Linked DNA regions of Macaca fascicularis. The protein of the gene in region 1 purifies or fractionates together with the protein of each later gene. This does not show direct contact. Links are inferred from orthologs where the notes say so. Each region holds a gene or a part of one and is shown in the gene's direction. Other genes may lie near its edges.

What was found.
Region 2: the proteins of PIAS4 (region 1) and SMAD4 purify together in Homo sapiens (affinity purification with western blotting, with the first as the bait; 3 studies listed by BioGRID). This does not show direct contact. The link is inferred for Macaca fascicularis from reciprocal best matches to the Homo sapiens genes PIAS4 and SMAD4.

What each region holds. Positions count from the first base shown.
Region 1 is NC_088393.1:4,740,510-4,744,322, forward strand, and holds part of PIAS4 (E3 SUMO-protein ligase PIAS4), read left to right. Parts: intron 1-1,770; coding exon 1,771-2,197; intron 2,198-3,067; coding exon 3,068-3,163; intron 3,164-3,813.
Region 2 is NC_088392.1:38,677,576-38,681,388, reverse strand, and holds part of SMAD4 (mothers against decapentaplegic homolog 4), read left to right. Parts: intron 1-784; 5' UTR 785-911; coding exon 912-1,160; intron 1,161-2,868; coding exon 2,869-3,043; intron 3,044-3,475; coding exon 3,476-3,505; intron 3,506-3,813. UniProt on the Homo sapiens protein: In muscle physiology, plays a central role in the balance between atrophy and hypertrophy. When recruited by MSTN, promotes atrophy response via phosphorylated SMAD2/4.

The sequences.
Region 1 (3,813 bases):
GCCACTTCTCTCTGTGAGCCTCGGTTTCCTCACCTACACGATGGGTGTGGTCATTGTGAAATTAGCGACATAGGCCTCGCTGGTGCCTGGCAGGGAGCAGACGCTGGCATCCCGGTTCTTCACGGTCACGGGGCCGCGCAACCCTGATACGGGAAGAGGCTTCTCCCGAGGCTCTTAGGGCAGGACTGGGCCACCCACACGTGCGTCCCTGTCGTTTTGAGCCGGGACAGCCTCTTCGTCTCCAGCAGGATCCTGGCCTGGTACAGCTGGAAGGAATCAGAGTTGACAGATGAGGACCCCGCCAGCGGCCCCGGCTGCTGCAGCCTTGGTGTTGAAATGGGCGGCTAGGCTCCTGGCCTCACCCTGGGGCAGCCGGGAGCTGGAAACCCCAGCACTTCCTGGCACGGAGGCCGCAGTGTAGACACTCCAGTGGGACTGCCTCTGGCTTTGACCCTCAGGGTCTTTCGAGTGGAGTTTGGATGACTTATTGGTTTCTTCGGGTGCCTGCCAGCTTTGCTTACCACCCTTGACACTTGAGCTTTTTCTCCATTCCTCCTGGAAGTTTCTCTTTCCCACCACATCTCATTCATCCCAGGCCAGCTTCAGGGCTGAGGGTGGGTGGCCCCGAAACCCTGCCAGCCCATCCCTCGAGGACACCTGGCTTCTGCAGCCTGTTGAGCCCTCTTTCCCTTTCATGGTCCTACCCCTCATGGAGGGGAGGCCACTGCCAGGCTACCCCACATCAAACACTAGGGTCAGCTGGGCTCTGTTGTTTGGTTTGATTTTGCTGGAGAGGTACTGTCGGGGGATGAGGGCCAGGTCCTGCCAAGCCTCATTCGTCACTTTGGCCCAGGTCCCGCAACAGCCCCTGTGGCTGCTGCCTTCCCCTCGGACCAGTCCCCCAGGGACTCAGGGCGATGTCTGGAGATGTATTTGGTTGTCATGAACTGTGGGTGTTTAGCACCCCACAGTGCCCGGGACGGCCCCAGCGTCCACAGGGCCGAGGGGACGAAACCCTGCTGGAATGATGGGTAGACGTTTCGGAGGCCCCCACAGGCCCGGCCCTGTGTTGCTGTCCGGAGGAGAGTGTGGCAGCAGGGACCGCCCCTGGCTTCAGAGCCAGGTCTGGGTTTGAATCTTGGCACTGCCACCTCTGAGCCTACAGTTCTTTTGTGACAGAGCTCACACACCAGCCTAGCAGGGGTGTTTTAAGGATCAGAGTTAAATATATAATCACATGACCGACTTGGTTCCCGGCAGGTGATTAGTGCTAAGTAAACTGTGGCTACCGTTGGCGAGACCGAAGGGAAAACATGTCTGTGGCTGACAAGGGTTGAGCGCCCGCCCAGCCAGTGCTTTATGTCATTATCCTCCCGACGAAGAGACTGAGGGTCAGAGAGGCACTTGGTGTTTGTCGGCAAGGCACTGGCAGAGGCCGTTTACAAGTAAAGCACGATTCCCAGTTCCTGCCCTGGGGATGCTTTCAGGCTGAAGACAGGGAAAGAGAACCTAAAATAGAAGGGGGGCCTAGTCAGAGGCGCTTTTGCTGCGTTGGCGATGCTGGGGAAAGTTTGATGAGGAGGAGGGAGGGGGCAGGGCTTTGCTGGGAGGGGGCACCGTAGGGGCAGGGCACTCCACCAGCCCCAGCCAAGGCTGGCGCTTCCTGGCGAGTGGGTGTCTCTCACGGCCCCCGCCTCAGGGCCTGGCCTCTGCGGAGTCCCCTGCCTCGCAGCTCTGCCTTCTGAGTTGTGTGTGCTTGCTCCTCCTCAGAACATGGTGATGAGTTTTCGAGTCTCCGACCTTCAGATGCTCCTGGGTTTCGTGGGCCGGAGTAAGAGCGGACTGAAGCACGAGCTCGTCACCAGGGCCCTCCAGCTGGTGCAGTTTGACTGTAGCCCCGAGTTGTTCAAAAAGATCAAGGAGCTGTACGAGACCCGCTACGCCAAGAAGAACTCGGAGCCTGCCCAGCAGCCGCACCGGCCCCTGGACCCCCTGACCATGCACTCCACCTACGACCGGGCCGGCGCTGTGCCCAGGACTCCGCTGGCAGGCCCCAATATTGACTACCCCGTGCTCTACGGGAAGTACTTAAACGGACTGGGACGGTTACCCGCCAAGACCCTTAAGCCAGAAGTCCGCCTGGTGAAGCTGCCCTTCTTTAACATGCTGGACGAGCTGCTGAAGCCCACCGAGTTAGGTGAGTGGCCGCCCCGGGGAGGCTGCGACGGGAGGCCTCACCTAGGCCCTGTCGCCCAGCCCAGCCACGCAGCCCACCTTTGGTGATGTTCTCTGGCGCGGCCAGGGTGGGAGCCACGGTGGCCAGGGCTGTCCTTCCCTGGAAGCAAAGGGACCATCTTTGATATTGGTCACCCCTTGCTGTGGTACAAGTTACCCTGAAATGGAGCAGTGGGCGTCTGTTAGCTCTCAGGAACCAGCGAGCCGCGTTGCGGGGCGTTGGGGCTCGGGGGCTCTCATGAGGCTCAGTCAGGCCGGAGCCACCTCATCCGGAGGCTCGACCAGGGCTGGAGCAGCCACTTCCTCGTGTGGTGGCTGGCAGGCTGCAGCTCCTCACCGGCTTTTGGCCGTCGTCCCCAGGTCCTCACTGTGCGGCCTCCTGCACGGGCTGCCCGGGCTTCCTCAGCCTGGTGGCTCCCTCACCCTAGGGTAGCGAGCGTGCACGTCCAGCTGGGAGCTGGAGCCCTTTTTATGACCCAGCCTCGGACACGCCTTGCCGTCTCCCCCATGGAGTCCATTGCTCACAGACTCTGTGGCACAGGCAGGGACCACACCAGGCTGTGACTGCCAGGGCCAAGGGTGACCAGGGTCACCTGGGAACCTGGTTTCCCTGCTTATTCCCCATGGAAAGGGGGCTGGCCAGTGGCATCGGCCTTCCCTCCTTCCCCCAGGCTCTGGTTCCTCGCTGGCAGCCTGCAGGTATGGCCTTGGTCAGCGGGCTCAGGTCACTGCCAGGCTGTGCGCACCAGGCGTGCTGGGGGCTCAGGGCGATCCCAGGCAGAGGAGAGGTGCTGGGCTCCACGCTTCTCTCTCTCATGTCTTTGTCTGCAAGCACTGACTGAGCAGGAGTGTGTCAGGACCTCGCAGCCCGCAGCAGTGTGGACAGGCCCCTGGCGCCTCCCAGCAGCCGTGACCATTCAGGCTGCAGGTGGGTATCAAGCCCGGTCTCTGCCTCAACCATAGCCCTGAGCTCAGGGCCAGGGAGGCCAGAGCAGCCCCAGCCCCCAGGGCAGGGAGAGTGTGCAGCCTCTGGGACTCCCAGTTAGGGAGCGGAACATCCTGGGCCTTTTGCGGACCTGTGCCCCAAGGCGCTCAGATTTTACCAGGTCCTCTGTGTGCCTGGAGGTCTCTTCTTCCTGCCTCCCTTCCCCTGCCCCCACTCTTTCCTTCACAGTAAACGTCGCGCAGTAGACGTCGGAGTGCAGTAAACGTGGGAGTGCCTGCTGGGTGGGTGCGTGATGGGCACCAGGCATGGACCCGCAGCAGGGAACGGGACCAAGGCCGCGAGGTTCAGGAAGCCTCTGCACGCCCCCTCCCACCCTGCTGACCCAGCGACCTGCCTGGTCCCTGCTGTGGCCTGAGGGCTCCTCTCTGGCACGCTTCAGTCCACTGGGTGCCAGCTGGCCCCACTCCCCTGCCCCGGGAGGCAGGGTCAATGGGGGTGTGGGGAAGGGGAACTGGCCGCCATTCCTCTCCCACCTACAGCCCTGGGACTTTGTGAGGTTAGGTTGGAGGGGCTGGGCTTCCAAGTGAGGTTGGAGGAGGTGGAGGAGGTGGAGGAGGTAGGAAGATGCTGCT
Region 2 (3,813 bases), on another chromosome or scaffold:
ATTTCCCTCAAGTAGAAGTATGAAGAGTGGAATTGCTGGGTCATATTTACTCTGTTTAACATTTTGTATTAATACCAGACTGTTTTCCAAAGTACCTGTGCCATTTTGTAATCCCAGCAGCAATGAATGAGGGTCCAGTTTCTCTGCTTCTTCAGTACTTATTGTCTTTTTGATTTATCCATCTCAGTAGGTATGAAGTGGTAGCTCATTGTGGTTTTGATTTTCATTTCCATGATGTCTAATGTTGAGCATCTTTCATGTGCTTACTGGCTACCATCTTTGGAGAAGTATCTTTTAGAATCCATTTGTTCATTTCTAAAAAAATTTTTTTTTTATCAGTCTCTTTTAACAAAGGTGAGTGTTAACTGCTAGGTAGCATTTAATATCAGGGGATGGTAAATTTTTCATAAATATTAGTAATAGACTTTTAGGTTTAACTAGTGCTGTTCCTCATAAGTAATCCTTTAAAAAAGTGCTGGTGAGATTTCCTTTAGGGTGACTAGTAAAGTCAGTAAGACTTGATTGAGTGTGCCACTATCATAATGAGAAGACCTAACTTTAATAGTTTTGGAATGTCAAAAACAGTGACAATAAAGTAATTTTATTTTTTAAAATTATTTTTAATGGTTAATATTTTATAAGAATTTTAAGTAATTTTCAACTCTGAGCATCAAATTTTAATTATGTGCATTGAATCTCTTACTTAACCAGAGCAATTTCATTTTTTCCCTCTACTTCGTGAAATGTGTTCTCATGTGTGTCTTTTTTTTTTTTTCTTTTTTAGGTTATCCTGAATACATGACTAACAATTTTCCTTGCAACCTTAGCTGTTGTTTTTCACTGTTTCCAAAAGATCAAAATTGCTCCAGAAATTGGAGACATATTTGATTTAAAAGGAAAAACTTGAACAAATGGACAATATGTCTATTACGAATACACCAACAAGTAATGATGCCTGTCTGAGCATTGTGCATAGTTTGATGTGCCATAGACAAGGTGGAGAGAGTGAAACATTTGCAAAAAGAGCAATTGAAAGTTTGGTAAAGAAGCTGAAGGAGAAAAAAGATGAATTGGATTCTTTAATAACAGCTATAACTACAAATGGAGCTCATCCTAGTAAATGTGTTACCATACAGAGAACATTGGATGGGAGGCTTCAGGTTAGTCTTACAAGAGTTTTTCTATACCCTCTGTGTTGGCAGATTTAAAAACTTGCTAAGTTTCCTTTCAAGCTCTACTACAGGGTAATTTAATGCATGCTCCATCTCTTCAGATACTGTGCATCCTGTACAAATACGCGTTATGGGAATTTGTGGAAGAATATGCAAAAGATAAAAATTTTTTTTTTTTTTTTTTGAGACGGAGTCTCGCTGTGTCGCCCAGGCTGGAGTGCAGTGGCCGGATCTCAGCTCACTGCAAGCTCTGCCTCCCGGGTTTTTACGCCATTCTCCTGCCTCAGCCTCCCGAGTAGCCGGGACTACAGGCGCCCGCCACCTCGCCCGGCTAGTTTTTTGTATTTTTTTTAGTAGAGACGGGGTTTCACCGTGTTAGCCAGGATGGTCTCGAACTCCTGACCTCGTGATCCGCCCGTCTCGGCCTCCCAAAGTGCTGGGATTACAGGCTTGAGCCACCGCGCCCGGCCGCAAAAGACAAAATTTTAAAGTTTTTTAATGTTCTATCAGAAAAAAGTTCAATGGAGAAAATTTGGAAAATAAAAATAAAAAGCAGAAGAAAACCCACACTTTGCAAGAACTACCTTTAGCACTTTGGTTTTCATTTTTGTAGCCTGTTGTTTTCTTTTTTTTTCCCCTAGACGGAGTCTTGCTCTGTCACCCAGGCTGGAGTACAGTGGTGCGATCTTGGCCCACTGCAACCTCCACCTCCCAGATTCAAGCAATCCTCCTGCCTCAGCCTCCTAAGTAGCTGGGACTACAGGCGAGTGCAACCACGCCCGGCTAATTTTTGTATTTTTAGTAGAGACGGGTTTCACCATGGTGGTCAGGCTGGTCTCAAACCGCTGACCTCAGGTGATCCACCCGCCTTGGCCCCCCAAAATTCTGGGATTACAGGCGTGAGCCACCGTGCCCAGCCATGTTGCTTTCTTTTTTGATATCGTATATACATTTAAACAATTGGATTACACTTAGTCTTTTTATAATTTAGAAATCTGATATGTTTCACTGTTACCAAATGTTTCATTGATCACATTTTTCAGGTAGAACTTCATAATCTCCCTTGCTGAAATAAATCTTACAGACATTTTATGTCTTAGATTTTAAAGTTTTATTTCAAGACTTTATACATGGTTTCTACAACACAGTCTTTTTAAATATTTATTTATTTCATTTTTTTTTCTTTGAGACATGGTCTCACTCTTGCCCAGGCTGGAGTGCAGTGGTGCAAACATGGCTCACTGCAGCCTTTACCTACTGGGCTTATGCAATCCTTCTGCCTTAGCCTCCTGAGTAGCTAGGACTACAGGCACATATGACTATACCTGGGTAATTTTTTATTATTTGTGGAGACAAGGGCCTTGTCATGTTGTCCAGGCTGGTAATGAACTCCTGGGCTCAAGCGATCCTCCTGCCTTGGCCTGCCAAAGTGATATGCTTACAGGTGTGAGCCACCATGCCCAGCCACTTTTTGCATTTTTAAAACCTGAACACAGGCCTTGAAATTATACCAAGGTTTAAATTACAGGTCTGATGCATGACATGGCCAAGTTAGTTATTTTGAATTTTAGTTTTCTCATTTATGAAGTGGGGATTGTAATACTGACTTGGTAGGATTGTGAGGATTAAATCAGAATATATATAAAAGTGTCTTGCATAATGTGACAGATGAATAAATGGTCGTTTATTTTTCTAGGTGGCTGGCCGGAAAGGATTTCCTCATGTGATCTATGCCCGTCTCTGGAGGTGGCCTGATCTTCACAAAAATGAACTAAAACATGTTAAATATTGTCAGTATGCATTTGACTTAAAATGTGATAGTGTCTGTGTGAATCCATATCACTATGAACGAGTTGTATCACCTGGAATTGGTAAGTAGACTTTGCTTTTATCCTAAGAAACATAAAGGGAAAAGGATCTCAATAGTGTTTTAATTTTTGTAAGTTAAATTATAAATTTGGAAGATAGCCCACGACTTTAAATAAGGTTAAAGAATCAGACATTTTTAATATACGTGTTTTAATTTGAACTTAGGAACAAACTTATATTTTGACTGCTAAAACCAAGTATTATAGTTCATATTTTGCCCATTTAGAACATTGTTTTTGAGAAATAAGATGGAAAGCATTATAAATTTGAATACTTAGTATGTGTATTGTTAGATAGTGTTTATGCTACTTCTGAATTGAAATAGTTCATGAACTTTTGTAATCTCTGGTTTAACTTGACATTCTCTGTTAAATGGAAAATATTTTCATTGTAATGATTAATGTTTCATTTGTTTTCCCTTTTATACAATTAAGATCTCTCAGGATTAACACTGCAGAGTAATGGTAGGTAATCTGTTTCTTATTACTTTCTTTTGTCCTATCCTCTCTGTTTTTTCGTTGACCTAGAATTAGTTTGTGTGGGCGGCAGTAACATTAACAAGAAAATAACTTACTGATTTGGAAATTTAGATTTTGGGGTTATGGGGCACGTCAGCATTTAAAACTGGATTTAAATTGGCTATTTGCTCTTTGTATATGAACTACAATTTATGAACTAAAGTACTGTAAAAAACATGATAGAGGAATGTACCAAAAACAAATACAAAGAATATTTTTTGCGTTAAGACCCATTTTTGAAGAAAATCTCACAG